Linked DNA regions of Arabidopsis thaliana. The protein of the gene in region 1 interacts with the protein of each later gene in a pairwise test. Each region holds a gene or a part of one and is shown on either strand. Other genes may lie near its edges. The genes, in order: AT5G67130, HOS3-1, AT4G26770 and FRK1.

The links.
Region 2: the proteins of AT5G67130 (region 1) and HOS3-1 interact in a protein complementation assay, tested with the Arabidopsis thaliana proteins (one large-scale study listed by BioGRID).
Region 3: the proteins of AT5G67130 (region 1) and AT4G26770 interact in a protein complementation assay, tested with the Arabidopsis thaliana proteins (one large-scale study listed by BioGRID).
Region 4: the proteins of AT5G67130 (region 1) and FRK1 interact in a protein complementation assay, tested with the Arabidopsis thaliana proteins (one large-scale study listed by BioGRID).

Annotation. Positions count from the first base shown.
Region 1 is NC_003076.8:26,788,404-26,795,751, reverse strand, and holds AT5G67130 (PLC-like phosphodiesterases superfamily protein), read right to left. Parts: upstream 4,454-7,348; 5' UTR 4,154-4,453; coding exon 4,049-4,153; intron 3,955-4,048; coding exon 3,832-3,954; intron 3,595-3,831; coding exon 3,457-3,594; intron 3,376-3,456; coding exon 3,277-3,375; intron 3,185-3,276; coding exon 2,881-3,184; intron 2,795-2,880; coding exon 2,571-2,794; intron 2,499-2,570; coding exon 2,412-2,498; intron 2,304-2,411; coding exon 2,103-2,303; 3' UTR 1,870-2,102; downstream 1-1,869. Other genes in the region: AT5G67140 (F-box/RNI-like superfamily protein), read left to right, coding at 539-627, 734-880, 1,122-1,257, 1,350-1,448, 1,528-1,743; AT5G67120 (RING/U-box superfamily protein), read left to right, coding at 6,015-6,212, 6,290-6,403, 6,736-6,858, 7,166-7,288.
Region 2 is NC_003075.7:17,346,756-17,353,062, forward strand, and holds HOS3-1 (GNS1/SUR4 membrane protein family), read left to right. Parts: upstream 1-2,462; 5' UTR 2,463-2,755; coding exon 2,756-3,530; coding exon of another isoform or gene 3,531-3,625; exon of another isoform or gene 3,626-3,872; intron 3,873-4,026; coding exon 4,027-4,178; 3' UTR 4,179-4,408; downstream 4,409-6,307. Other genes in the region: AT4G36820 (calcium uniporter (DUF607)), read left to right, coding at 134-691, 781-1,239; AT4G36840 (Galactose oxidase/kelch repeat superfamily protein), read left to right, coding at 5,411-6,127. UniProt on the Arabidopsis thaliana protein: Probable very long-chain fatty acid (VLCFA) elongase that controls VLCFA composition and functions to inhibit abscisic acid (ABA)-mediated stress responses, including regulation of stomatal aperture, maintenance of primary root growth and inhibition of germination.
Region 3 is NC_003075.7:13,479,552-13,486,777, forward strand, and holds AT4G26770 (Phosphatidate cytidylyltransferase family protein), read left to right. Parts: upstream 1-2,512; 5' UTR 2,513-2,667; intron 2,668-3,000; 5' UTR 3,001-3,028; coding exon 3,029-3,235; intron 3,236-3,307; coding exon 3,308-3,722; intron 3,723-3,797; coding exon 3,798-3,939; intron 3,940-4,013; coding exon 4,014-4,170; intron 4,171-4,261; coding exon 4,262-4,309; intron 4,310-4,386; coding exon 4,387-4,473; intron 4,474-4,561; coding exon 4,562-4,690; intron 4,691-4,773; coding exon 4,774-4,830; intron 4,831-4,905; coding exon 4,906-4,989; intron 4,990-5,056; coding exon 5,057-5,146; 3' UTR 5,147-5,392; downstream 5,393-7,226. Other genes in the region: MAP65-2 (microtubule-associated protein 65-2), read right to left, coding at 72-383, 461-616, 779-994, 1,071-1,316, 1,401-1,604, 1,678-1,749; AR192 (Co-chaperone GrpE family protein), read right to left, coding at 5,515-5,613, 5,709-5,837, 5,917-6,084, 6,169-6,612, 6,866-7,009. UniProt on the Arabidopsis thaliana protein: May be involved in the synthesis of minor phospholipids and in modulation of IP3-mediated signal transduction.
Region 4 is NC_003071.7:8,324,217-8,332,596, forward strand, and holds FRK1 (FLG22-induced receptor-like kinase 1), read right to left. Parts: upstream 5,729-8,380; 5' UTR 5,678-5,728; coding exon 5,593-5,677; intron 5,399-5,592; coding exon 4,852-5,398; intron 4,773-4,851; coding exon 4,291-4,772; intron 4,207-4,290; coding exon 4,065-4,206; intron 3,955-4,064; coding exon 3,883-3,954; intron 3,800-3,882; coding exon 3,728-3,799; intron 3,635-3,727; coding exon 3,554-3,634; intron 3,419-3,553; coding exon 3,258-3,418; intron 3,198-3,257; coding exon 2,989-3,197; intron 2,907-2,988; coding exon 2,780-2,906; intron 2,693-2,779; coding exon 2,630-2,692; intron 2,532-2,629; coding exon 2,342-2,531; intron 2,251-2,341; coding exon 1,851-2,250; 3' UTR 1,833-1,850; downstream 1-1,832. Other genes in the region: AT2G19180 (uncharacterized protein), read left to right, coding at 526-931, 1,226-1,359. UniProt on the Arabidopsis thaliana protein: Involved in innate immune response of plants.

The DNA.
Region 1 (7,348 bases):
ATAAATTAACCTATAAGTAATTTGACAAAATAACTTCTTCTTGCATAAACACATTGAACACGAAAAGTACAAACGTAAGATGAGAAAAGAAAATTACAGATAACGTCATGTCAAATTTAACAATTAAAGTATGTGTTAGTTCACTAACATTTAAATATTTTGTGAAGCAAGCAACACAAAAAATAATGTATTTTTGAGTGAATAAGAAAGATCTTTTATTACGCACCGTAGGCCGTGGCATGTGCCACGTGGCGTACAGAAGAAAAAAGACGGAGTCCTAGAGGTATTCTTCTACGCAAAATCTTGGACCGTGTAATAAAAACATTTATTAAATCATATAAATTAATTTCAAATTTTTTGTTATAACGATTAAAAAATATGACGGAACTATGACCACATCTTCTGCAGTTAAACCATGAAAAAGACAACATCTGCTTCCTCTGCAATTATGAAGAACTAATGATATATACAAACAATTCTTAATACATAAAAATCTTCTACAAATATTGATTTAAGAAGCTCTAAAATCATACAAGTCATGGATGAAGAAGCAGCGATTGATCGTTTACCATTAGACCTTCTTGCATATATATTTTCGTTGGCTACTTCTTTCACCGTTTTGGCCCAGTAAGTGTTTTCATTGATGATCCTTACAAGTTTGATCCTCTCTTTTTTTGATTAAATAAATCATTGTTGTGAGATTGAAGTTTTTGGTGAATTTTGGGGTTTTTAGGGCAAGTGGTGTTTGCAAGAAATGGAGAAAAGCTGTAAATCAATCGATGGCGAGAAGAGAAACTCTGAGCTTTGCTGGTTGGAAAATGGACGATGATTCCACTTCTCGTCTCGTTCATCTTGCTTTCAACCTCAAAGAACTCGACATGTAATCTCTCTCTCTTTCTCTCTGTTTTGCTCTTTGTTTGTTTCTTGTACTATGATCGTACTTGATTTGTCCTTCAATGGCGGATTAAGAGTAAACAAGATTGGTGGGATAGTGGAGATTTGCTGAATTTTTTGGTCAAGTTTCCAACTTTACCTTTAGGGTGTTTGAGATAGGATATTGACTTGGTCAAAAAACAGAACAGAACTATAAACTCTGTTTTTTTCTTCTTTCATATTTGAAGATCTCGAAGCAGATGGGGTTGTCATATAACTGATAATGGTCTTTACCAAATAGCTTCTGCAAGATGTGTATCCAATTTAAACTCTGTCTCTTTATGGGGCATGACCGCCATTACTGATTCTGGTGTTGTTCAACTGGTAAAATCTAACACCGTTTTTTGTGCACTGGAATCTTGAAGATTCCTTTTTTGTTTTAATCATTTCAGAGAATCTTGATTTTGATTTGACAGATTTCAAGAACTTCCTCACTGCAACACCTAAACATAGGAGGAACATTTATAACCGATGAGTCTCTTTTCGCAATTGCAGAACGCTGCCATCAGCTTAAGGTAACAACAATCATCTAACCAAATAATTCTCTCTAGATTCATGAGAATCACGCTTTCGAAATTGGAATCCTTTATGCAGACAATCGGAATGTGGTGTTGCCGTCATGTGACAGAGAGAGGCCTTCTTGTTCTTGTAAACAAATGCAGAAAACTCGAATCCATCAACTTATGGGGAACTAGAGTTCCTGTAGATTGCTTCATTGCTTTACTTACCATCAGTCCTGCTCTTCAGATCAAACCCATGGAATTGCTTCTCAATGCTCAGAATCCACCACCGTTGCTGCATGCTGTCTAGTGTTGCTCATCATATTTCTTGTTTGTTGTGTACATAGTAATTCATACAATTGAATCTGCATATATCTTATGTGTTCTCTCATCAATCAACAACATATATATATAAATATTCAGTAAAGTTTCTATTGGAGTAGAATTGTGTCTATATATATATATATATAAGTTGCATAACAATCAACAGAAGCTGAAGACACACATACACAAGATTTCTGCCTATAGCTCTGCAGTCTACAATACAAGAATCAAATCAGAAACTCTTTCTAAGGCAATTCATGTCAACTTAGGCTCTCTCATTCGTTCTAAAGAAGTGATCAAGATTCTCTAACCTAAGAATCTCTCCACGTGGTTTGATTGGTTGTGTCATAGTAGAAATATCAGCAACGGAAGCAATGAGAAGCAGAAGACAACAATGTTGTTTAGTTGGGCCACAGAAGCTAAAGATCTTGAGAACTGAACTGAACCTGAGTAGCTTCCACCTGAGTTGCTTCCAGCCGTTGAATCCATGCTTGGAGTTCTTGTCTGTACAGTAACATTTTTGCATGAACCATAAGCTGCTCCTGGCTGCAACATCAAGAACCAAAATACGGGTGCCGGTTTTAGATAATTTAGGCTTGTAAGATCTTATTTCATACCCATAAGTAACTTTGGCGCGAGTTAATAAGTTAATACCTGGCAAGCAGAAAGAGTTTCACAACCGCAAAGTACCGGTCCATTCATTCTATCCAGAATTTCGAAAACGCCGCCTCCATCACTTCTCTGCAATATTATGGTTTGTTAGCTAGATCTCGTAAAAACAGTCATATTATAGTTATATGATTGATTCAGTACCATGTAGAAGTTAACAGCAAGAAAGTTTGGCATTCTATTCCCTCCTGACTTGAGACAAGTCCCAACCATCTCAGCAAGTGGAGCTGAGTGCTCCTTGCAAGCGTCTTTCTCAACCGGATATGTCGGGAAGTAATTCATCAAGAATAGCGAAGAACTTTTTGAATTTAAAGGTTGAGACTCTTTTCTGTTAGGACAAGAACCTCGCTTCACTCCGGGATCCCCAGCTTTAGACAATCATAAGAAAATGGCAAGAGAAGGTTATTCTCAGAGACAATTTTCATTAAAGATATAAACTGTGTGTAATACGCACATTCATTTTCAACCATGTATCTCCACTGATACGCAACGCCTTCTTCATCTTCTTTGGCAGCAACAGAAGTGAAAACCAGGAGCCTATGATTCTCTTGCACCATGTCAGTCACAGTAGGCCAATCTTCTCCCTTTCTAGGCATTTTCGAAACAGGGAACCAGTATTTGTCCAAACCAGCGTTGGCAAACAGTGTTGATAAGCCTTTAGGTCTGTGCACATAATCCTCTATTATGATGGTAACAATCTCTGTTGGGTTTTGACTCAGAAATGCCTCAACTTCCCTCAGTATGTTAATTGCAGGTTGCTGATTCAAAAAGAAAACAAAGTTCACATTTACCAATCCAATCAGGTTTCAAGCTTTCGATCCAGCAAGGTTAAGCTGAAGATAAAACTTACAAAAGCGGTGAAGTTGAAACATTGCCCTCGAAGCGAATGGCAAAGCCAGATATCATTGTTGAAGTCATACATATCCAGCATTAGCCCTCTAACTCCATTCTAGAACAAAAATATACATTCAAGAGTTTTATCCAAAAAAAGAGGAAACTATAATAAGAGAGTTGGTAATAAGAGCATTACTTGTAGCTGATTAGTAATAGTATCTTCTTGATTGTAAAATGTAATCCTCTCAACACCTGGCAAAAGTGGTGCATTTGCATTGCTAAAGGCATTATGAGTCATCAACCATGTATACTTGTTAAAAGGCAATCCATTGATCTACAAAAAACACACACACAAATTTCATCACCACATCTTCAAAGTTCAAAACTTTTGATACAACCAAATGATCTAGACTATCTTTTAATGCAACCAAATGAAATCTTCAGCAAAACCCATCTTCAAAGTTCAAAACTTTTGATAGACCAAGTGATCTAGACTATCTTTTGAAACAACGCATCTTCAAAAATTGGAAACTCTAGAGAAATCCAACTAATTATAGGAACTAAATCTCACAATGGAAGTTGGACTTGTGGCTTGGCCTCTTGTGCAGACGGGTTTACTTCTTCCAACGGCAGGACAGTCTCCACAGTATAAACCAGAGACACAATCAGTAGCCGAGGAGCATGAATCCAGCAGCTGAAAGAGACACAAAAATGCAAAATCCCTAAAGATTTAGACCCAAATTTGATAGCCATAAACCAGAGAATAATAAGCAAAGAGAATCAAGAACCTGGCAATTTCCATTGGAGCAAGCTGAGGAAAAAGAGAAAGAAAGAAGAAGAAGAAGAAGAGAGACAGTCACGGCTCTGCATAAGCCATTGATGCACGCCGACATCGCTCCGTAGCTTATGCAGAGATAGAGAGAGAGATATGAATGATGTTGGATCTACTTGGGGGGGTTTTCAAAGACGAGACAAAGAGATGTTTAGGTACTAAAACCCGGGCTTCATCGATTTGTTTTGTTAATCCTTGAAAGAGAGGTACAAAAGAAAAAGATTAGCTTTGGTTTTCTTTTTCTAAGACAAGGTTGAATCTTTTTCCCACCTAGCTCCTAGAGAGAAAATGAAGAAACGATTAGTAAAGAAGATAAACCACCTTTCAAAAGGAGTTCAATTTTGAGCATAATACAGTTTAACATTATAATAACATAACTCAAAACTACAGTTTCTAGTCTTGTACACCAAACATATGGAGTGACATTTTTGTCAAGATTTATGGAAACAGTGATCTTGTAAGAGTTTATCAATATAAGTAATAATGGTTTTATATTATTTCTTCTAGTTGTTAGGTGAGGTCTATCATAAAAAAAAAAAAAATTATTTCACAGATCACTATTTTCATTCTCTAAAATTTGCTCAGTTATAAGATTTTTTCACCTATTATTAGATGAAGATATCTTTTTTCTATTATGGTTAACGGTGCTCACATGCGTGGGGACACTCTTGTCTTGTTGCTTGTCTCTTTGCTTCTTTCAATGAAAAATGTTACAATTTTCATCATCTTACAAAAATTACTCAAACATCTAGGTGAAATTTTATTCTTAACGAGATTTATCATACCATGCCTATTTCATCTGCAGATTCGTCAGCAAGTGACGTATCGAATTAGTGACACTCTTAACGATCAAATGATTAATTTCCATTAAACCAAAAAAAAAAATGATTGATTTCCATAACCGATTTATTCACAATTGGTGATTTAACACACAAGTTGCTGTAATATACTCTTGATGTGTTTTTAACTTGAGATTTTTTTTTTAATACACAAAAAAAAAAAAAAACTTTTGTAGTTTGGACATTTACGTCCATTGAGTATGACGTCGTCGTCGTGTAAATTCTCTCTCTGCCTCTCGCTATAACGCTAGGCCCATTTACGTATTTTACTGAGCCTTTTTAGTTGGACCCAAACTCTCTCTTTTTAAGCCCATGACCCAAGTAATGTAATTAATCATCTTGTGAACTTGTAAATGAGGAAAACAAGATGCATATCTCCGGTTTAAAAAGCGTTTTAATGACGTTGAAAGCAAATATACAAAGCCAAAACATAAAATTTCCTTCCTTTTTTTGTTGAAAGCAACATTTATTATTTTTTGTACTTATTCACTCTAAAATGATATTTTTCCATTGAAGAAAATTCAATAAAGAAATGTTTTTCTATAAAAAACCAATTCAACTGTATTAGAGCTATAATTAAAACAGAATCCTTATTTTCAATAAAATAAATCTTCCGAATCCAGCTAAAGTTCCATTTTTATTAGCTGTCACAATTTTTTTAATTGAATTTTTAACATTTTGGGACTTCAAACTACCCAACAATTGTAAATCAGTGGTCTTTTTCTCCTTGAACTTTTTTTTGGTATAAACCTTTTTTCCTTAAAGTTGCTAAATCCTTTTATCCATGGAGGCACTGAAAAGTGGGTTATATGCATTATTTATCGTTTAAGCCTTAATTTGGTATATATATTTTTCCTTTAACTGAGCTACAATATATTTAGTGGTTTTTCTTTGTTCATAACGTCTTTATTTTTTCTATTACTTTATCAATATTAAGACTATCCTGTCCACTCAAGTATTTGCATTTGAATGGAAGAGTTAAATGGTGATGATACTTGAAAGTGTTAATTATCTATATAAATTCAGCTTAATCTAGCCCCTTGAAAAAAAATTTTGAGTCAGGTAATATGTTTCTCCAAAAGTATGGATCCAAACGAAGACAATTCTGAGATACCGGATAGTCCTTTTAGCTTCATGTGGCTACTATTTGGAGACGACTGGGATCTATGGGACACTTACTCACCAGTTGATGCTGATGACATCTCACCAGATCCAACGCTTGATGTGAACGGTGATGGTCCGGCAATAGAGCCCGGTTCCCTTCTGAGGACAATTAGTTGGGTAATTATCTATTATCTAATGTTTTTTTTAAGAGAAATAATTTATTTGGATATAATATAGACATGAAAATTGTTTAGGAAACAACGTTCGAGCAGGACTCGTTACAATCATGGAACGATGAACAATCTGAAACAACATCAGTAGTAGAGTATACAGATGTATCTTCTCATGGAAACACCTTCACTAACGAGGTATAGTATAAATCTAGACTAGATTAACTTTTGATATGCAAATCTCTTAGCATTTCAAATATATTTCAAGAGTTTATGAATCAATATTGGAGGAAATAAGATCCAATATTATTGACATTTGAAAGAAAAAAAAAAAGGATTTTGATTTGTTTTGACATTCCGTGATTTTACGTAATCATTTCCCTCGTATCTTGTTTGGTTTTAAATTTTCTGTTTTTGCGTGGGAAAACATTGAATGTCACTTAATTGAGTAATTAATTATCTATTATCTAATATTTTTCTTTAAAAGGTATAAAGCTTTTAGATATAATCTAGACATTGAAATTATATAGGAAGAAACGTTGGAGCGTTACTGGAGAAACTGGTTACAGTCATCGACCAATGAACAATCTGAAACAGGATCACAAGAAGAGTATACAAATGCATCTTCTCATGGAGGCACCTTCATTTACGAGGTATATAATAAATATATAGACTAGATTAAGTTTCGATATGCAAATCTCTTAGCATTCAAGTATATTTAGAGTTTATGAAACAATATTTGTGGAAATAAGACTAAAAAAAAACAATTGCCATTTAAAAAACAAAGAAAGGTTTAAATTTTCTATGATATTTAGTGAACTTAAAATAATCATTTTCATGTATTTTGTTTGGTTTAAAATTTTTCGGTTTTACATGGAAAACATTAATATCACTTAGTTGGGTAATTATCTAATATCTAATGCTTTTGGATATTATAATATAGACATTGAAATTGTATAGGAAGAAACGTTGGAGCAGTATTGGAGAAACTGGTTACAGTCATCGACAAATGAACAATTTGAAACAGAGTCACTAGAAGAGTATACAAATCCATCTTCTCATGGAGACATCTTCACTTACGAGGTATATTATATATGTTATAACTAGACTAGATTAAGTTTTGATATGCAAATATCTTCAAAA
Region 2 (6,307 bases), on another chromosome or scaffold:
AGAACTTTGGTTACCTATATAAAGCTCGCTCTTGCTGTTTCATTTTTTCAAGTAGTAACTGAAATCGAATTCATTTTCTTCTCTTCCTTTCTGGGATTTCGATTTTTCGTATTTTTTTTTTGTTCTGTTCGTCATGGTGATGATGAAGAAGCTTTTGTCGAACCGTTTGTTCAATATGTCAAAAACGGCGTCGCAAAGTCTCATGAACTGTCGTACTTCGTCTTCTTCTTCGTTAGCCATGCGAACTAGGGTTCCTAAAGATATAGGAGAAGCCACGATTGATCCAGAGCCTGGAGATTTGACGATTTCTCAGAGGTTTTTGAATAAATTCTCCATGAATGGGATTGATACGACTTCGAAGATGTCTATTGGGGAGAGTCTGATGGAGAAGCTTAAAGAAATGGATATGAACAAGGATCGGATTCGATTAGACGGACTTTCTCATCCGAAGGAGGAGACGTTAGGGCTTACTGTGCAAGACGTGAAGAAGTTGCTAAGAGCAGCAGAGATCGAAGTTATTAAAACGAAGCTGATGGAGACAGGAAAAATCTGGATTCGTTACTCAGATTTCTTAGGTGTTTGTAGTGATTCTTCTTTGGATCCTTCTCAAGGAGCTTTGATCGCTAAGATGCTTGATGATTCAGGAAACGTTATCGTTATGGGAAACTCTGTTTGTTTAAGACCTCATCAGGTAACTTCTTCCTCCTCTTTGCTTTTTTTTACCATTTGAATTCTTTTTTGTCTATGCAATTCTCTGATAAGGTCTTGTGTGTTGATCAGTTAACCAAATCCATAGAGGGGCTTCTTCCTTTATCACAAATCCATAACCCGAATGACCCAAGAAGAAAGGAGCTAAATGAGCTTGAAGCTATAAAGACGGTCATTGACCAAAAAGCACATTCTTTGGTGAGAAGAGAGCTTTGGGCTGGTTTGGGTTACTTGATCATCCAAACCGCAGGGTTTATGAGGCTAACGTTTTGGGACCTGACATGGGATGTTATGGAACCGATCTGTTTCTATGTCTCATCGGTATATTTCATGGCGGGTTACACATTTTTCCTCAAGACATCGAGAGAGCCTTCCTTTCAAGGTTTTTACCAAAGCAGGTTTGAGGCTAAACAAAGGAAACTGATGCAATCTGAGGATTTTGATGTTGGGAGGTATGATGAGCTGAAAAAGCTGTTTAATCCCAAGCCTTCAGGTGCTGTTCCCAAGATTCTTGGATCTCTACAGAATTGATCATTGGTGTCTCGTTGTCCTACTAACCTGAGAAAGATATATTGACCCCCAAAATTGTGTCAAACTATAATTTTTGAATATTTCATAATCTTTCTAGGAAAATAGGAAAAAGACAAAAAAAAAAAAAAAAAGTTCTATTAGTGCGGCTTATGTAATTTGGAAGAGTAGATAAAAGAATCGATTGTGATGTAGATTTATAAATTTCAAGTCTGACTTTCTGAATGTTAAATGTTACAATACTTCCATGCATATGCATATGAGATATCATTACTTTAAACATGTTATCTATACCAAAAACTCAACAAAACCTTGTCATTTGAGGCCTAAATCTTAGTTGAAGCCAATTCCGAAATTAGTTTTAGTTTTAACTTAAATGATTTTTAGTTTATAAATTAAACAAGTATAACATATGCTTAATGATTGTTTCGGCGGGCTTACATAAATGATTGATAGAACATGTTATGCGTGGGAGTAGTCGTTGTAAGTTCACCGTCCAAGTCTCCTTTTAATTAATTCACGAGAAATCAACTACGACCGTGTAAATAAAATACTTAGTTTGGTAGGTCAAGAATCACTTCTGGAAAATGAGACTAAAGAAAAGAGTCACTTGTGGAAAATACTATCAAGTGGACAAAACCAAATTCCTCATAGTGAAAAAGAGATATATTACACTGTTCCTGCCGCATTTGTTTGGTACGTATCTAATATTTTTGTTTACTCACGTGGTACTATAACGCTTATTGCCAATATAACGATTAGGACAATTTGATTTCTACTAATTTTATTTGATACGTATCAAATATCTTCTGTCTTAGCTGGTCATCAAATTGTGTGAAATAGTAATTTAATACTAACTCGTTACTGATTACTGATGTAGATTCATCTTCGTAACGATCGCCCGATCCATATTCCAATATTTGCATTTTGTTTTACGTAATGCACTCTTTCTCATCTGTAGCTCCTTGAGTAAAACTTAAAACTTAACCATGAAGGCATCTGTAAATTGACGCTTGTCTGAATTTCTCAACACCAAACTCTCTTTCGTGTCTAGAGGTTCTTTGGTTTTCCCACCTGCTTTTCGATTATGGTAATGGTCAACTTGACGCGTACCAAGTTTTCTGATCTTTTTGAAGATATTTCAAATATGGTTTGCTATTTCGATTTTCGACAATAACAGTAAAACCCCATTAAGACCATAAATCTTAAAAATTTTCATAACCGTTTTACAATATTCATTTATGTAGCCAAATTAAATTTGTCACGTAAATGTGACAATTAATATTGGTCCACATCATTTTGCTTTCATGACAAGACCGGCCATTTAGTGACCTACTGTATGTTCTACAACAATTATTGGAAAATGGAAATTAAATATCCCAACAAAAAAAATAAGAGCAGAAACAGAGATTCACTTTGCGAAAAAGTCGCACGCACACATATAAAAGACAGGACTAGAGGAACAGAGGAAGAAGAAGAGTCACTGTGATCACCACCACCGTACGATCAAATTCAAACTATGTCAACGGCTCTGATTAACTCTATTACCTACTTCCTCTCCGAACATCCATACATCGTCGGATTCCGTTGGAGTAACAGCCAATCATGGGGCTCCACGTGGTCTTTCCTCTTCACATCAATCTCCCTCTATATCGCCGTCTCATCCTCCCTCCACATCCTCCTCTCCGCCGTACGCCGAAGTAACCGTTCCGTTCCTTTAGGTCACATCCCCGAAATCCACAGCCTTCTCATGTCGATCCTCTCCGCCACCATTTTCGCCGGAATCCTCCTCTCCGCTGCCGCAGAGATCCGTGACACACGGTGGTTATGGCGGCGGAGCAAAACCGCCACTCCTCTCCAATGGCTTCTCTGTTTCCCTCTCGGGACTCGTCCCTCTGGTCGTGTCTTCTTTTGGTCATACGTGTTTTACCTCACGCGCTTTCTCCACATGTTCCGTACGATTTTCGCCGTTTTACGTAGCCGGAGGCTCGCCGTGTCTCAGCTCTTTTGTAACTCCGTCATGGCCTTCACGTCTTTCCTCTGGCTAGAATTCTCGCAGTCGTACCAGATTCTAGCGATTCTATCGACGACTCTGGTTTACTCGGTGGTTTACGGTTATAGATTCTGGACCGGGTTTGGTTTACCCGGTTCGGCTTTCCCTTCGTTTGTGGTGAATTGTCAGTTGGTTCTCGTGGGCTGTAATCTCGTGTCTCACGCTGGGGTTCTTACGATGCACCTCTTTAAAGGTGGATGCAATGGGATTGGCGCGTGGGGTTTAAACTCGGTTCTCAACGGTGCGATTTTGTTGCTTTTTCTTAACTTTTATGTGAGAATGCATTCGCCAATGCGACGCCATATTAATAAAATGAATAGCCAACGTAACGCTTAAGAATTAATTGATCCTTTTTACTAGTTTTTACTTTTTACTCAATAAAACAAATCTAATCTTCTTTTTTGTCTTTCACTTTTAAAACTGAAGTATAATCTAATTTGTTTTCTAATAACTAAAATGTTCTGCGTCTAGGTCTGTACATCTTCTCAAACCGGGACAATTTTTTTTTTATAAACCATCGATCTCTGACTTTGCATGAGATATTTTACATTTGAACTATTGGCTCTTAGTTAACGCAATCTAGTTCTTGTTTTTCATTCTTTTAAATCTAGTTTTGTGTTTTTTAAGTGGAAAGAAATTATGTCGATTATTTATAAATATATCTTTAAAAATATTTATTTATTTCATAAGAGGTTTTTGATCCAAAGACTCAAACTTGGGGTAACTTTATGACGTAGATATACCACAATACCCACCAAAATGTGGTGATAGAGGAAACAAAGGTTTACATGGTGGATCATGGACGAGGATGATCAAAAGCTTATACTCTTTACCAAGTGAAAATGCATTTTGGATAAGAGGAAAAATTATTAAAAGCGAGAAAACATAATATGGTTTGAGACTGATGTGTTAGATTGTAAGAGCTGCAATTGTATCTCTCTACTTGGGGACACACTTTTGATTTTCTATTTACCGTTTGAATGCCGTATAAGGAAATGTACAGGTCAAACGAATATGGTCGAGTGTTCGCCTTAGACCATTGTATAAGGAAATGAACTATGTCGACTATATTTAATATTTGGGCCTAGTATAATATTACTACACTTAATCAAAGTTAAGGCATTTATAACTGTAGAACAAGATGGGCCTAAGGCCACGGTTTTCTACTTAACTAGGCACACATATGACATATCCCATAGTAAAAAAGCTTACATAATAAGGCCCACATCTGAAATCTGATTCTCCACTGTAAAAATAAAATCCTCTTAAGCTCTCGATCGATGGTTCTGCAATCTCACAAACCAGAAACAAAGAGTCCAGGCTCTTGCAACCAACCGCGGAACTTGTTGAAAGGCGACGAGGAGAGAGAATTTCAAATCTCTCCAGATCAAAGTGAAACACAAGTACAACAAGTAACCGACAAAGTGAAGCGCAAGTACTTGTTTCTTTCCTTTTCCTTTAATATTTGTTAATTTGAGAAAAGTAAAAACCATAAAATATATATAGTTTCTGTCCGAATCGGCCTATCTTCACAAAATCTCGATTCCAATCAAGAATTTATGGCAAGAAAGGTCGATCAATCAATCAGATGATTATGGATCTAGAGATCTCTAAATTTGTGTTGTTGTGAATTGAGAATGCGAGAGCATTCGACGATGTACAATTACGCCCCCGAAGTGCCACCGCAAAGTAAAAGGAAGAAGACGATGAATGAGGCGTCTCCGTCGTGGTCTGGATTACCGGATTCTGTGGCTGTGAGTTGCATGGCTCGCGTCTCGAGATTGGACCAAACAGCCTTATCTCTCGCTCCAAGAAATACCGCTCTCTCGTAACATCCCCTGAGCTCTGCAGCACGCGATCGCTGATTGGTTGCACTGAGCCATCTTTCTTCGTCTGCTTGCGCATCTTACCTGATCCAACCCCTCGCTGGTTCGTCCTTACGGGTAGTCGTCGACTGAGGCCGGTCCCATCGCACCCCTATCAGGCTCCGGAATCATCTTCTTTTGTGGTAGTGAATTGGGGGATCTATGTTATGTAATCGGTGGAATCATAAACGGCAATCCCACTTCCGATGTCTTGTTCCTCAACTGTTTTTCTCAGACATGGCACCGCGTCCCGTCTATGAAGATGGCTCGTGCTTCCGCATCGGCAAGCCTCATAGACGGGAAGATCTACGTTTTTGGAGGGTGCCCAGAGGACGCTGATTCCTCAAACTGGGCGGAGGTATTCGATCCAGTTTACCAAACTTGGGGTATATTTAATACGCCGAAGATGGCCCATAGTATCAACCAAAGTGTGGTGATAGAGGAGAAGAAGGTTTACGCCGTGGATGAGGAGGACCAAAGCTTTAGCTTCTTGCCAAGTGAAGGTAGAATCTGGAAAAGCGGAAAAAAAGATTCTAAGGTAGGAAGTAGACACGATTGGTGTGTCATTGGGAAATTACTATACTGTCGTGCTACTCGCGGTAGAATACTATGGTGCCAACCAGATGAGTTGGACTGGAAAGAGGTAAAAGGTTTGGAACAGCTACAATTGTATCTCTCTGGTACAAGATACATCTTCAGACGTACCTCTGATAAACGACCGTCAAAGACCAACGTCAAATATGATATTAGAAAAATCTCTAGTAACTCTGCTGGGAACATTGTCATCTTCGGGAACGCACATATTGGAGACCCTGAGTGTGTGGAGCTTTGGTCTGCCGAGATTTCCATGGAGAGGCGCGAGGGAGGTGAGATTTGGGGGAAGATTGAGTGGTCCAATGTTGTCTTCAAACTTGATCCTCTCTCAAACTCATATAGCGTTGATGTCTTATTTTCTGCTTCTGTCCATTTGTGATATATTCATTCCAATATTTATTTGTATTGCATATTACTCAACGAATCAGATTGTGGGATATAAGCATATAGTAGGCAATTAATCATTTAACAGTAACAACATAACAGTTAGAGCCTCTTTCTTTTAAGAGGTATGTGGTGGAATTTGATGCTGAATTCTCATTAATGACTCGTTACCAAC
Region 3 (7,226 bases), on another chromosome or scaffold:
CAAAAGAATCATCAATTGAACTCTATGCTTAATAAGTAATGTGTTTATTAACATAGCCAATGTTAGCATACTCGATTGTAATCTTCGAGCCAGCTCTCTTCCTCACAAGCTGACATCCATTTCTCTACACGGTCTAAAATTTCTTTTCTACTAAAGGCTTCCTCCTTGGCCTTTGCGATCTGGCTATCCATGTCAGCCAGTAACTCAGTAGGTTCAGTATTCCCAGCATCAATCAACGACATGATCCTCTCACGAACAACCTCTGGTTTTATTTCTATGTGAGCACGAGCATATATCTCCTCAAGCTCTGATTGCTTTTTGAATGCAATTTCCTTCATTCTGCTAGATTTCAGTTGATCAAGCCTATCCACTTCCACCTCAGCCTTCAAGAGTTCACAGAAGATTTTTAAAAGCAGTACTTATCATACACATTGATTGATACATTACAAATTTACGATACCTGTTCGATAAGATCAAGTGCGAGAGCACCAGAGGCAGTCACTTCATGAACTGAAGCTGAAATGTTAGAGGTAACATGGTCAAAAAGCTCCCTTTCCTCATCAGAAGTATCCATCAGATTCCATAGATCAGTTAGCTGAGTAGCTAGTTCTTGAAGCTGCATAAAACCAAGATACATTAATGAAATCCACAAACAAGAATGGTGCAGAGAAAAGTTACAAACTTTCAGCGCAATTAATCAGAAAGGATTTCAACATATGTGCAGCCTAAACTGACCAAGCTCATGTCAGAGATCACAAAGACCATGATTTTGACTAACCTTCTTAAGTCTTTGCATTTTATCTTCTTTAAGAGTCAAGACAGTCTTAGCCAACCTTGCAAGTGTTTCATTGCTAATGCTCTTGGTTTGAACACCATTTGCCTCATCTAAGCTCGGATGAACTTCGGTGACAGTGCTTAAGAAATCTAAACGAAGGACGGCACATAGATCATGCACCGTGCTCACAAACTCGAGCACCTTCTGTAACCTATCACTCTGCTCAAACACAAAGCAGTTTTAGTTCTGGTTTGAACATAGGCCACACATAACCATATCCCAACTAATATTTTACCTTCTCTTTCTGGAGCTCTTGGAGTTTCCTCTGGAAGTCATCTAATCTCTTTAGAGACAAGTCAGTCTCATCAACCACATGAGGTCCATTGTTCAATCCGCCAGCGATCTCCTCACATATCTTCTGAATCTGTGATTGTACATCAGAAAATGCCCGGACCCTTTCCTCTTTCTGTTGCCAAAGTTGTTCAAGCGCAGGTGCTATTGCAGAAAGTTGTTCTTTGATCGTTCCTGAAGTCTTATCAGGCTGCAATGGAAACAAAGACATTGAATCACACTACACTGTAACCATCTCATCTCTTTACCACTTGTAAGACGTGAGATTACTTACAATGTCGATATAGCTTTTTTCCCCGAGAGCAGTTGTGAGATTGGAAAGTTCAACAGTGGCATCTGACAAAGTCTGAAGAAGCTCTGCACGAGATTTTGCGGCTAGCTCAACTTTCTTTTTGTAAACATTCAGACACTCTTCCTCAATCTGTAGAAGCAGTTTGTCTCGTTCTTCATCACTCTCCCCAACCTCATCCCAGATTTCCTGTAACAAGTTTGTACATTGAGTTTGTGGAACCATATATTAAAAGGATAAGTGTGTATGTTGCGAAATCTACCTGCAACTTCTGTAGTAAGGTGCCACAAGTGATTTCACCAAGAAGAGGATTTTCTGCTTCTGTCACTGCCATTCTTGTGAAGTCAAAAGGTTTCCTACAAAAGTAGAAACAACGAACATATTTAGTGAAGATCCAAACTAACTATACACTAAAAGAAACCAAAGTTGCAATCTTTTTTAGAAAACCAAATTGAATCAGAAACAACATTTTGAACTTGGGAACAAAAACACATCAAAGAACTTAGTGAAGCTAAGAATGTGAAACTAAGCTCAAGAAAAGCTCGAAAGGAACTTCAAAGAAATCAAACAGCATTGGTGATAAAACCAAAGCCAAAGCAAGAAATCAACATTGAAGAAGTAAAGAGGCAATGAGCTGAAATGAAACTAATCGAATCCAACAAGTAGAAGATGGCTTTCTTACCTTAATCGATATTGAATCCAAATGGTTTATCTTCCTCTCTTTTAGATCTGAAGCGACGAATAGTCACTGTGAGAGTAAGAGAGAGAGAGAGCATAGGAAACAGAGAAATCTCCAACTTTGGTTATGGAGGTTGGGAAATGGGAAAAGTGGGACCCATTTTACGGAACTCAATAATTAATGAGGAAAAAACAACAGCAAAAAGGTGAGAGACCCTGTCTTTTCGCGTTATTTACTGATTTGACCACTGATCTCACAGACCTCGTTGACTCCTCATGCTCATGTCTGAATAGTTAAAAGGCTTTCCTTAATGGGCTTAAATATCTGACCCAGCCCAAACAGATCAAGACAACACGTGTCACTCATTCCGGGTTTAAACATGAAGCAGCGACATGAATAGTTTATTGGTTCTCTCTTCCGATGATTTGATGAAACCTCACCGCTAAGTGCTCATCCACCACCTTCCTCCTCCTCCTTCTTCCCTCACCTTTTGAGTTTCTTTCTTCACGTTTCTTTTCATTAATTAGGGTTTCGCATTTTCAATCACCATCATCCCACCACGTTTTCGTTAATGTAAGTTCATTCTCTTTTTTCTACTTGTCATGATCCCATTTTGTTGCAATGTTCACTTATGAAATTTATCCTTTGTATGTGAATCATCACGTTTTGCTTTGATGAATCATTTAGATTTCTAGGCTTACACATTCAAATCTAAATCCTCTATTATATGCTTGTTACACAAGTAATCTCTCATCAGATATCAATGTGTGTGTTTCATTAAGACGTGTATAAGCTCGAGTTATGGTTGACATTTTGAAATTATAGATCAACCCCAAATTCATTTCCTCGGATGTATAAAGAAACCCAGATCATCATGATTAACTGAATTTCAAGAACTCAATCCAGGAACTGAGAGCATTTCCTAGGGATCTCAATGGCAATGGAGAAAGATCTCAGTCCAAATTCTCCACGGATTAGAAAGCTAAGGGATACTAGTTACCCTACTACACCAACGTCTCGAATGAATACTAATAACCAGAGAGATAACCATTATCCCAACATTCCTAATTCACCAAGGGATTACAATTATACTCCTAGCTCTCCAACAGCTCGCATTCGACACCGCAGGCGATCAAGCGAGGTATCTATACAATGTCATACTCTCTTTTCCGGTTGAATCCAAAATTTGATTGTCTTTTTCAATATTGATCAGAATTTAGCTGAGGTGAACAGAAGCAATGTAAGCAGAGTAAGCAATTTGTTACTTGGTGATAAGAACAAGTACAGATCAATGTGGATAAGGACATGCTCATCTCTCTGGATGCTCGGTGGAGTTGTGTTTATAATCTACATGGGTCATCTCTACATTTGGGCTATGGTTGTGGTTATACAGATATTCATGGCCAAAGAGCTCTTCTTTCTTCGCAGAAGAGCTCATGAAGAACGTCGCTTACCCGGTTTCTGGCTCTTGAATTGGCACTTCTTCTTCACGGCTATGTTGTTTGTCTATGGACGCATCATTCAACAGCAGCTAGTCAACACGGTTTCTTCAGATAGATTCATATACAAGCTTGTGAGTGGTCTTATCAAGTACCAGATGGTTATTTGCTACTTCTTGTACATCGCAGGTTTGTCTGTTTCTTTTTTCTTCACAAAAACAATACTCTCTTTCTTGATTTATTAACAGCTTAAGTTGGATTCAGGTCTCATATGGTTTATCCTTACATTGAAGAATAAGATGTATAAGTATCAGTTTGGGCAATACGCTTGGACACATATGATCCTTATCGTTGTCTTTACTCAATCTTCTTTCACCGTCGCCAATATTTTTGAAGGGATCTTCTGGTACAATGGACTCTTATATATATCCACTGAAGCATAATAGTTTTCCCGAGTGCTAATTTCTTTTAAATATGCAGGTTTCTTCTACCAGCAGCACTGATTGCTATGAACGATGTAGCAGCTTACTTCTTCGGTTTCTATTTCGGGAAAACTCCGCTCATCAAGTTGTCTCCAAAGAAAACATGGGAAGGTTTCATCGGAGCATCAGTTGCAACTATAATCTCTGCATTTATTGTAATAACCTTCTTCTATCATTTATTCATTCGTTCGTAACTCTTTCTTTTGGTCTCAAGACTGATAGATTATTATCTGCTTCGTACAACAGTTTGCTAATGTCTTAGGCCAGTTCCAATGGCTTACATGTCCAAGGAAGGTAACAAAAAGTGATATCTCCATCACAATATTTTGTCTCGGCCTTTACTTCATCCTTGTGTTGCATATCTTTTGCAGGATTTATCAACTGGTTGGCTTCATTGTGATCCAGGCCCTCTCTTCAGGCCAGAGTATTACCCATTTCCCTCTTGGATTACTCCATTTGTAAGCAATTAACTGTCCTCTCGTGAAAACCAGCCGATGATGTTGTCTTGTTTTGAAACTGAGCTCCGTTGTGAACTTTGCTTAACAGTCTCCATGGAAAGGGATCTCGACCCTGCCTGTCCAATGGCATGCTTTTTCTCTCGGTCTATTCGCATCCATTATGGCGCCTTTTGGTGGCTTCTTCGCAAGCGGTTTCAAAAGAGCTTTCAAGATCAAGGTTAACACATTTTTCAAACATTAAAAGGTTTTGTATCTACAGATCCAAGAACAAATATTTACTAGTTTATGTCGCTTTGACAGGATTTCGGAGACAGCATACCAGGACATGGAGGATTTACTGACAGAATGGATTGCCAAGTAAGAGTCACTAACGTCGAAAAGTGCAATATGATCTTTGCATCGTTTTAAACGAATCTTGTTGCCTAAATGCAGATGGTTATGGCGGTTTTCGCATACATCTACATCCAATCTTTCATTGTTAATCGGGACTACAGTGTCGAGATGATCCTAGACCAGGTAAGAATCATCATATAAGCCAAGAATACGGAGGCATTGTAAATAATTGATTGTATTATACCTGCAGATATCGAGGAGCCTGGGACACGAGGAGCAGAAAATGCTTTATGAAAAGCTCGGAGACATTCTTCAACATAAGTTGCAAGGGAGGTTTTAAATAGTGAGTGCAAGTTTTGTGACTCTGTTTTCAGCTTCTTTCTCTATGGTTAGTTTCTGGTTGTATCAGACCATGTAAAACCTTGATTTGTATCTGATTTAACTAATCAAACAGAGACTTGGTAATAGTGTGCGAGTAGAAGAGATGTAAAATGATATTTTCCTCGTTCAATTATAGCATGGAGATAGAGAAAACAGACACAGAAGCAGGATTTCCCCTGCAAATGCCATGTCCAGCAACTTATGGGAGATCTTGTTCATCTAATGAATAACCAAACCACAAAAGAAAACTATGACTCGAAGACTCGAGAAGATGTTAATGGAAACATAGAACCGTAACAAAATTTATGAAAACCAGCTGACTTCTTCTTAAGCATCAGACTCTTTCTTTTCTTCTTGGTTCTCTCCTCCCTGGGTAACACCAACCTCAGCTGGTCTTATAACTCGGTCATACAGCGTGTATCCAGACTGCACATATTGACACCCATCATTACTAATTGGTATTTAAGACTATACAATATGAAATAAAGAGACAAAGAATTGAGCAAGCTTTATATATTTACCTTCAAGACATGAGCAACTGTGCCTTCTGGCTTAGAAGCATCAGGGACTTGGAACACTGCGTTATGTCTGTTTGGATCAAATGGCTCGTTTATAGGATCATACTTCTCCATACCAAATTTCTTAAATACCTGCAGCGGCACACATGTTTAACCGGTCTCATCTGCATTGCTTACTTAAGGTCTTATAATTACATTTCTCGATATTTACCTCAGCAAGCTGTTTCTCAGTCATCTCCACTCCTTCTAAAAGGGTCTTTAATAGTGGAGCTGCTCCAGCAGAATCTTCTGAGGTGTCAAGCTTTGAGAAGCTTTCTTTGACAACCGAAGAAGCTCTTCCAAGATTATCCGCCACATCCAATAGGCTCTTTGCAAAATTCTGCATACATATATAGTGAATATATATATTTCAGAAAACTATTATATGAAACAAAAGCTGCAAACCAAGTTCTTAAAGACTAACCTGTACGGCATACTTTTTGGTGTTTTCAGCATCACGTCTTGTTCTGTCCATGACATTCTCCATCTCAGCATAAGTGCGAAGAACTTTGTCTTTCAACTGCTTAATCTCTTCTTCCTTCTCAGACAGTAGCTCTTCCTTCTCAGCTACGAGCTTCACCAAATCATCGGCTGACAATTCATCATCATCACTCTCAGAATCTGATTCAGAAGATGAAGATGCAGCTCCTTTAGCACCTTTCCGCTTTCTTTTTGCAGAATCTGTCACAGAATCTTTAGATTCAGAGTCAAGACCTGGTTGGTTTGCCTCAGCTGTAGGTTTCTCTTCACTTGTCTTTGAGGCCTCAGTGTGGGTCTTCTTCTCATCTGATTCAGGCGAGGTAGAGGAAGAAAAATTGAACCTTTGCAGTGCAAACGAATCCATCATAGACATCTGAGCTGGAACAAGCTGCCCCCAAAAAAAAAAGTAAAATGGGTTAAACTCAGTGAAATGATACAGAGCAAAAACCTATAGAGAATCTAAACCATTCTTCTATTGTTTATTCATATATCTGAAGATTCAAACATAAGAGATCAAGGAAACAGTATCAGAAGATAGCAATCATTTCTAGAAACTCAAATGAGGGAAAGCCTTAAACCCTAACAAAACCCTGAATTGCAATTTCGGCATGAATAGTGATTAATTTGAGTGAAAATCGAACCTTATGCGAGAAATCGTGAGCTAGGGAGTGAAACCGGCTCGAGAAAACAGGAGTCTGATTCCTCGCCGGAAGAGTGACGGCGGATAGAGATGAGCGTATGCCCGCGTTGCGGGTTACTCGCGACAAAATTCTCAAAACCAACATCTGGAGATCCACCACAGATGAACAAACAGAGATCAAGAAGATAAGAGAATCGAATCGAATCGAAATGTAATTGTTCTGAGGAAATTGTTAATTTGCAGAGGCACACAGAGTGCTTGGTGGATGGATAGTAGAATTCACAATTCTCTCTTTCGGGGTTTTTAGTAATTTACGTAAATAGCCTTACCGCTGCACGAGCGGGCTGAGGCTAAAATGATCG
Region 4 (8,380 bases), on another chromosome or scaffold:
TTTCAAGCCCAATCCACTCGTCTTTTGTTAGATTTTTTTTCCTTTTTTATATATATATATATTTGGGTTTGCTCAAACATTAATAATTGATTGAAGTTAATTTTAAAATTTAGAAATTGGACTTGCTGTTTTATTTAGAAAATCCACAACTGAATGAGTTCTAACATGTACAAGATTCACCAAAACTTTGTCTTATCCTGTCAAATGGTTAGTCTTGCGGATATGATGCTAATTTCATGTTTTAAGTTATTTCAATTTTTCAAATATACTTTTTTCTTATCAATAAATTTACCATCAAAAAAGAAATAAATTTACCATCAAAAAAGAAAAAAAATTGACCAAAGAAAAAAAAAAATTGACCAAGAAAAAAAGGTTATTTGTTTTTCTATTAATTTTCTATAATTGGATCGGATCTCAGGGATTCGGATCCCAATTTGTACCCGTTTCAGTTTCACGAACTCTGTCATCGTTTATAAATGTAAAAAAAATCTCAAACTTTCTCTTTCTTGACTCTCTCTCCTAAAAATGTCTCGATTGCTCTCAAAAACCCTAATTCCCAACGGAAGATTCCTCCTCCGTCGTTTCAACGAGCCGGCGATTACGACACCACCAAACGTCGTCTGTTTCAGCCGCCGCTTTTCATCCATCCCACAAGTCATCGAGCTTGAAATCGATTCTAAAAACGAAGCGGAAGCAGCAATTCTCAAAAAGCTAAACGAATTCGTACGAAGGATCATCGTTCATAATTCGACTCCAGATTGGCTTCCTTTTGCACCTGGCTCTTCCTTTTGGGTACCTCCTCATCAGATTACGGCTACAAAGATCGCCAATTTGGTCGATAAGGTGACTAATCCGTTGACGGAGGAAGAGTCTCTTTCGCTTTCGTCTCCTTATGGTTGGCCTTGTTCCTCTTTCTTCATTCCTCCTCCAGGTAATTGCTCTGATGGGTCTTACTTGTTTTTTGGTTCTGCTTGTTAAAAAAGATTCCTTTTGAGATTTTCCTCAATGTTAAACCCAATTCATGAGACAAAGTTGAGATTTTGTTGGGTTACTTAGGGAAGAGAATATTTGAACATTATTATCTACATGAACATTTAGAGCAATACTAGAGCTGATTTGTTTTGATGTTTGTGTCTCGTTTTCGAAAGATATGGTTGAGTCGTTGTTAGGGTTATTTGCTGATATCTGTGGTGATATGTTTGTGTATGTCTATGAAAATGTTAAGATGGTTCCTCATCTACACAAGAGGAAGAAGCTAGCGTGGAGTTGAAAATCCCGGGGAATGAGATGTTGGAAGTGAAGCTAGCACATTATCCAGATCCTATTTACTCTTTTAAACCTGAAGATGGTGAAGAGTGATTCGATACCTTTTCCAGCACGAGAGAGCAGGTAATGACAATGTAAAGAAATTTTTTTACAAGTTGATTATAGATTTGAAGTAGCAATGAAATGTGTTCCTGACAAATACCTTGGATGTACAGGACAGGATTGGAAAAAACAGATGACGATCGAAACTCAAGCAGTTTGTACATACAGTTGAAAACCATGGGAGTTATATGATCTTTGGGTGACTTTATACACCTTGTTTACTATGTTTTATAATTGACTTAATATAATTAGCTTGGGGGCTTCTTCCACTTGCCAGAGTTTATGGTGATGCTCGGGTAACTTGACAATTTCATTTATAATGACAATTCTTCCCTTTGACACTTGACCTAAGTGCATATAAATAATGTCTTGGCATACATATTATTCAGCAACCATTTGCAAGTAAGATTAATGTATTTATTGAGACACAAAAGCAAATTGAATACAAATTTATTCTTCTTTTTCTACTCTGAAGAAATTCACTACCTTGCTCGAGGAACCATCTCGGTGTCTAGATTCACTGTAAGCATTTTCGTCGAGTCATCGTAGTTTTCCTGATCAGTCACTATGCCATAAACAATCTGTTTCAGCTCCATAACGACCTGACTCATCGTTGGCCTCTGCGCAGAAGTGTGCTCGGTACAAGCAAGAGCGATCTCTGACATTTTCCAAGCCGAGCCAACGTCATATCTCTCTCTTAGACGCTGATCCACGATTCCTCTAATGTCTCCGTTGGCTAATATTGACCTGACATGATCACTTATATGCACCTTCTCTGTTTTTGAGCTTGCAATAGCAGGTTGGCCTGTAATCACTTCAAGAAGAACAACCCCAAGACTATAAACATCACTCTTTTCGTTCATTTGGCGAGTCGAATAGTACCTGTAGTTTCAATAATATGTGTCACCCTAGATGAAACATTTGTATTCTTTAGTTTGGAGAAATAGTAATTAAGAAGGTTTTTATTACTTACTCGGGGTCAAGGTAACCGATGGATCCAGCGACAACTGTTGAAATCTGACCGCTTCCTTCAACAGAGAAGCTTCTAGATAACCCGAAGTCCGCCATCTTCGCTTGGAGCTTCTCGTTTAGTAAGATGTTTGTTGGCTTCACATCTCTGTGAACTATAGGAGGCTTACAACCATTGTGAAGATACTCTAGTCCTGAATTTGTTTTATAGACAAGAAAACACACACTTCATTGATTGATTTTCGCATGTTAGATTTAGTTAAATGTAATTTCAAGATGGGACTTCCCGAACCTTGCGCTGCATCTAATGATATCTTCAACCTCTCTTCCCAGCTCAAGATAAATGACCTTTTACCTTCACAAAATGAAACAAAACCAAAGTTCCTTTCTCAGTACATTATGAACATAAGATTAGTGAACAAAAGAAGAATCATTAATTAACCTGCCAAATAGTCTCCTAAGTTCTCATTAGCCATATACTCATAGATAAGCACCATGTGGTTTATTTCGTTGCAATATCCAACAAGAGAAGTCAGGTTCGTGTGATGAACTCTCATGAGAAGGTCAACCTGCGATTCTCAACTAGATTAGTTAGGTGAAAAAGTTTGAGATAAATTAAGATTAAGTCCTTGAAAGGTACGCAAAAAAAACCTCTGCTCGAAACTCTTTGTAGCCTTGAGCTGATTCTTCAGAGAGTACCTTGACAGCAACTTGTTCTCCATTTATGACACCATGGTATACTTTACCAAAACCTCCTTTGCCAATAACTCTCTCAAAGTTATTTGTGATATTCACAACTTCTGAGTACTTAAAGTATCGCTTTGCAGTTTTCAACGGCCCATTCCTCTCACCAAGTGTACCTATAAGAACCTCGTTTAGTTACTTTCTTTATTGGCAGAAATTTGTTTTTAGTATCATACCTCTTTGTTGTTTTTTCTTGAAACGCCGGAACAAAGCTAAAGCCGTCAAAAGAACGACGATGATTCCTACGACTACTAATGGAATGATGTATCCATTCTTGTTCTTCTTCTTTGTGTTTGAACAGGAATCAGAGAGACAAAGGTCCGGATTTCTACCAAATCTATAAAGTTACAATGTAGACATGTTAGGAATGAATCTTGTCAAAGCGCATTGCGGAATTATCGGTTCTAAATCACATTCAAAGAGGAAGAACTAAACTAAAATTAATAAAAGGTAGCTTTTACGAGTCGCAAACCTTAAGGAAAGAGATCCATTCTTTGATCTTTCATGCAATCTTTGTGGAACTATGCCCGTTAACTTGTTTCCTTCAACGTTTCTGCATATACGAATCCACATCAACTCGTAAATTCAAAGATATCTTTTGCTTCACTGATCAAGTGAAATATTTGCTCTAGTTGATATGACTCACAATTCGGTCAAGTTTGGTAAGTTAGCGAGGAAAGCAGGTATTTCTCCTGTTAAAGTATTACCGGATAAATCTCTGTAATGAAAAATGATTGTGTTAGTAAGGAACTCTGTGTATCACAGAGTGTCAGTGATTATTACATGAAAAAAAATACCGACAATTTTCTTATAGATGTAAGGTTGGAGAAGGCTGGATCTATCTGGCCTCTTAATTCACTAAAAGATATATTTCTGCCAAATAGAGATGTTTAGGACAAAACAAAAACAGAGCAAAACAGAGCACAACAGAACAAAGCAGAGTAAAACAGAACAGATATCTATAAATTTAAACACTAACTTACAGTGAAACGACTCTAGGATTAGTAGTGTTATCACTTTGGATACAGTCAATACCTTCCCAAGAATAATCTACGGGAACACAAGGATCTCCTTGCCAGTTCTTCTTCACTCTATACGTGGCTTTAATCTTCCTCATGGCATCAACTATAAGAGCATATAAACGAAATCAGACATAACCGAAAAAAACTTCGGAGGAAGTTTGTACCATATAAAAAAAGCCTTAATTACCATCCTGTGGATGAGTTGGGATCTGAAGGAACTCATTGACTTGATAGACCTCAAGGGCGTTAATGATCGGTGGAAGTACAAATTCACCAGGTGGTTGAAGAAGAGAGAAGTTAATGGTAATTCCGCTCACGGGATCCGGTGTAACGAATGTGTCGGTAAGCAAGTACCGAAGCTTAAACGAAGGAGAGATTACATCCTCATTTAGCCAGATGCTGAATTCTCTCGTCTGGTTGCTTTTCAGTACTTCAATTTCAGCAAAGTGCATGTATACATAAAACTTTGCGTTAGGGTCGGGCGGTCTGAAACTAAGCGTTAGGTAGAGGCTCTCGTTTCGCGCTGTTTCTGCAGTGCTCATGACAGTAGAAGCCGGTTGGTAGCCATTGTTAAGAAATTGATCGACAGTGAGAGATGTATTTAATATCTTGTATTCTGAACTCACTATACGCGGTGTCCATATACGGTCATATATGTCATCTTTGTACCTACACAAATGTGTATGAGAAACTGCAAAAACAAAAAAGTTTCCTTGTAAAATAATCAAAGTTTCTTGTTAAGGCTCACCTCGATGGAAGTTTTCCCGTTTTGCTGTAATCTAATCTCCGAAGGAGGGTAAGTGCATCGTAAGGAGTCTCATAAGTAGTGTTCAACAAGAGCCGTATCTCCAAGACAGACAAAAATGGAGTTCCTGCGTTCTTATCAACAACACACACTTGAACATTGTCTAAAAGTGGAATGGTGATTATCTCTTTGTTGAGTATAGTTGTTGCATCGTCGAGTTTAACAGAGTCCCAAAAGTTTACTCCTAGATAGAGATCGAACTCGGGTACTCTTCCAAGATCATCATAGTTCCCGTACATGAAACGAGTTCTGATTAGATACTTAAAACCTTTGCCTCTCGGCGTCGGAACATCGTAACAGCTTCTCTTGCTTTGAGGGAAACTTCTCACGTTCAACAAGTGTCTATCAAAACCACTTGATTGAAACTGAGCTGCAATTCTCTTTGTTGTTCCTGAATCAACAAACGCCGAATCCGAAACATACTTTATACCTGTAGTCTCATCGTTGTAGCTAGAATCATCCGGTATCCCGCAATCTATACTTATGAAACCTGTAACACTCAGAGAATGAGAGAAAAGAAGATACGATTGATGTATGGAAGCTTGGTTTGCTTCAAGATAAATACTAAGGGAGAGTAGTTTTCTGGGAAAATTGTATGCAAATTCTTAACTAAACGATGCACTTGATGTAAAAACGTATTTTAGCATCTGAATATTAAACAAAGCCAAGACTGTTTTAAATTACCAGATTGATCTTGAGCATGAACAAGAAAGAACAGAAGAGCAAAGCTTGTGAATAAAATCGATGAAAGAGATTTTAACATCGCCATTTACTTAATTGAGCTGCTTTCTCTGGGCTAGAGCAATGAGCAACTGTTTTATAATTAAAAAAAAAAAAACATTTGGTCAATAAGATGTTGATAGTCAACCAACCATCTTCTAAGGTTATTAGTGTTACGCAACTTTAAGAATGTTCGGACCAGGACGTAATATATGTCAACGCTTACTCTCATTAACATTATTTCTACTTATTGCATATTTGCATGGTTTTTCCTTGGCAAATGATTACCTTTAATTCTCTGCAAAATTTAATTAAAAGTATATTTGAGTCTAATAAAGCGAATGAAACTATATGCATAAAAAAACGAGACTTAAAATCTATTTTTAACTATTATTTACAACGTTGCCAAAAAAAAAAACTAGTATTTTTCAAATGTTTGACAAGAAAAGGTTCATTTTAATAAATGGTCAAAACACATCTAATTTCCTTTTGAGTTTATTACTATATATGCTATAACACCACATCACAAATGTAAAGAGACCAACACTGATATAAAAAATCTCACAACTCCCAATAGTTTGTATATTTTTTTAGGAATCAGTTGAATATCAATGTGTTACGGTGAATTTTTTTATTTAATATAGTCAAGGTACTTGACAATAATTTGCAAAACCACATTGGTAGGTGACCGGACACGTTTAGATCTTTTTATTAGTCATCACTTTCAAGTTTCAACGATGTGTTTTTCTTTTAAAACCCGATGATCCGCTTTCAACGATACAATATGTTCTTTTAATAATATATATATTGGTCAACTAGTAATTAAGTCAATAATTTTTTTATTTTTTTTTGTCGACTTCTAAGTCAATGAATATATATTCTTAGTTTCATTGCCATCCACAAAATAATCAAAGAGATATATATTCTTCAGATATTTATTTAACAAAAGAGACTATTCTGATATTAATGTATGATCATACAATTTTGGACTCCTTTTCTTTTTTTGTTTCTGAATTCGGTTTATGAAGATTACTTTAGAATACTAGCTTCGTAAGACAGGTCTAGAAGGTAAATCTTTCCAACCTGCAATCACTAACCAAATAGTTGTCATTTCGTTTAGATCAAAGATCGACTTTTAGTTGGATATCAAATTTGGTCACTATGTAATATTGGAATTCACATGGCGAATACAGTCATACAGATTGAGGTATGATCCTAAGGTCGAATGACCGAAAGAAAATGCAATAACTAGGAATACTGCCCTAATAAGCGTCCCTAATACTTTTCAACATATCAAATCTTCTTCTTTTTTTTGTTGTTGATAAAAAGGCGTTTAATTTAAATTAGAATAACTAATACCTTGCTATGACTTTTTATGGTCAAACAGTTTTAAGGAAGTAATTTGGAGGAGGACTTGACGATAAAAAGATATTCTTAAACCTTTTTTCTTTCCAAATTACTTTCTCAAAATTGTTTGACCATAAAAAGTTTTGGAGATAACCAACCAAAATTATACATAGCTGCGAGGAAGAGGAAGTGAGGAAAAAAAATAAAAATAGCTTACAGGAGATAACTAATTAGTGTTTCCACGACTACCGCGGCTTCTACAACCACAACGTCCACAATAACTCACATTAATCCATATATTATGAACCCTTGGAAACGGTTTTGTACCGGTCTATCTCGCAAAGTCTTATGAGTAGATGAGTCATATCAGATTCTGCTCAGAGATTGGAACTGAGTATCCTTGCTCCAACATTTCGAATCTTTCAAACAGTTTCCAAATTTTTTGGACGGATTGGATTTTTTTGTTGATTTGGTAAACGTTGATGTGATCTTCTGGTCCGATAATTCTAACAAAGGTGCATGAACCTCATCTGAAAAGATGCTTAGTTGACAAATAATATAAATCAAAAGTCTCATATTGACCATATGATTTATATAAGTCGGTATGCATGCATGTATAATTTAAAATATATAAGTTAATGCAAAAAGTTAAAGCTCTCCCTTTGTGAAAAAAAAATCCAAGAAAAAGATGCTTAATTGAAAAGTAGTCTGAAAAAAATATTATAATTATACAAAACTAAATTCTTGAATAGACGATACGGTTTATGTAAACCGACATGATTATATACATGGTTGATGAAAAAAGTGTTTTCTTACGTGAGATTAGTGCCTTTTGCTCTTACCAAACTTCTCATTACCCGGGTCTGCAAGCCAAACATACAAAAAAAAAAAAAAAATCTCATTACGTTATCATTAGAGCAGAAAAATCCATTAAAAACAGTCTAATAATTAAGATTTACTTAGTAGTAATCTGATCAGAACTTGTATGGTCTCAGAAATCACCACCCGATTTCGATCTCTATCTAAGGGAGTCAGGGTTAATCTATATAATCCAAGTATTCTTGAAATTCATCAACGTATTAGTTATGTCTCCACAGAGATTATACACACTCCTTTTGGACCAGTTTCATTTGTGTCTTGTTGGTAAAAAAAAACACAGAGAAATTTCTACTCTTCTTTTTTTTTTTTCTTTTTTTTTTTTTTCTCTTGAAGAGAAAAACTTCTACTCTCATAAGGTATAGAAGAACAAGAACCGAATCTATACGATATATTTTGGTCCCATGATCCTGTATAACGCTTCCTCTTCGATATCGCACCTCCTCTAGCGTTCGCAGTGCATCTGGAAATTACAAGAAAAAGAAGAAGAAAAAGAATTTAGGGTTTAGTTTAAGAAAATAAAACCTAA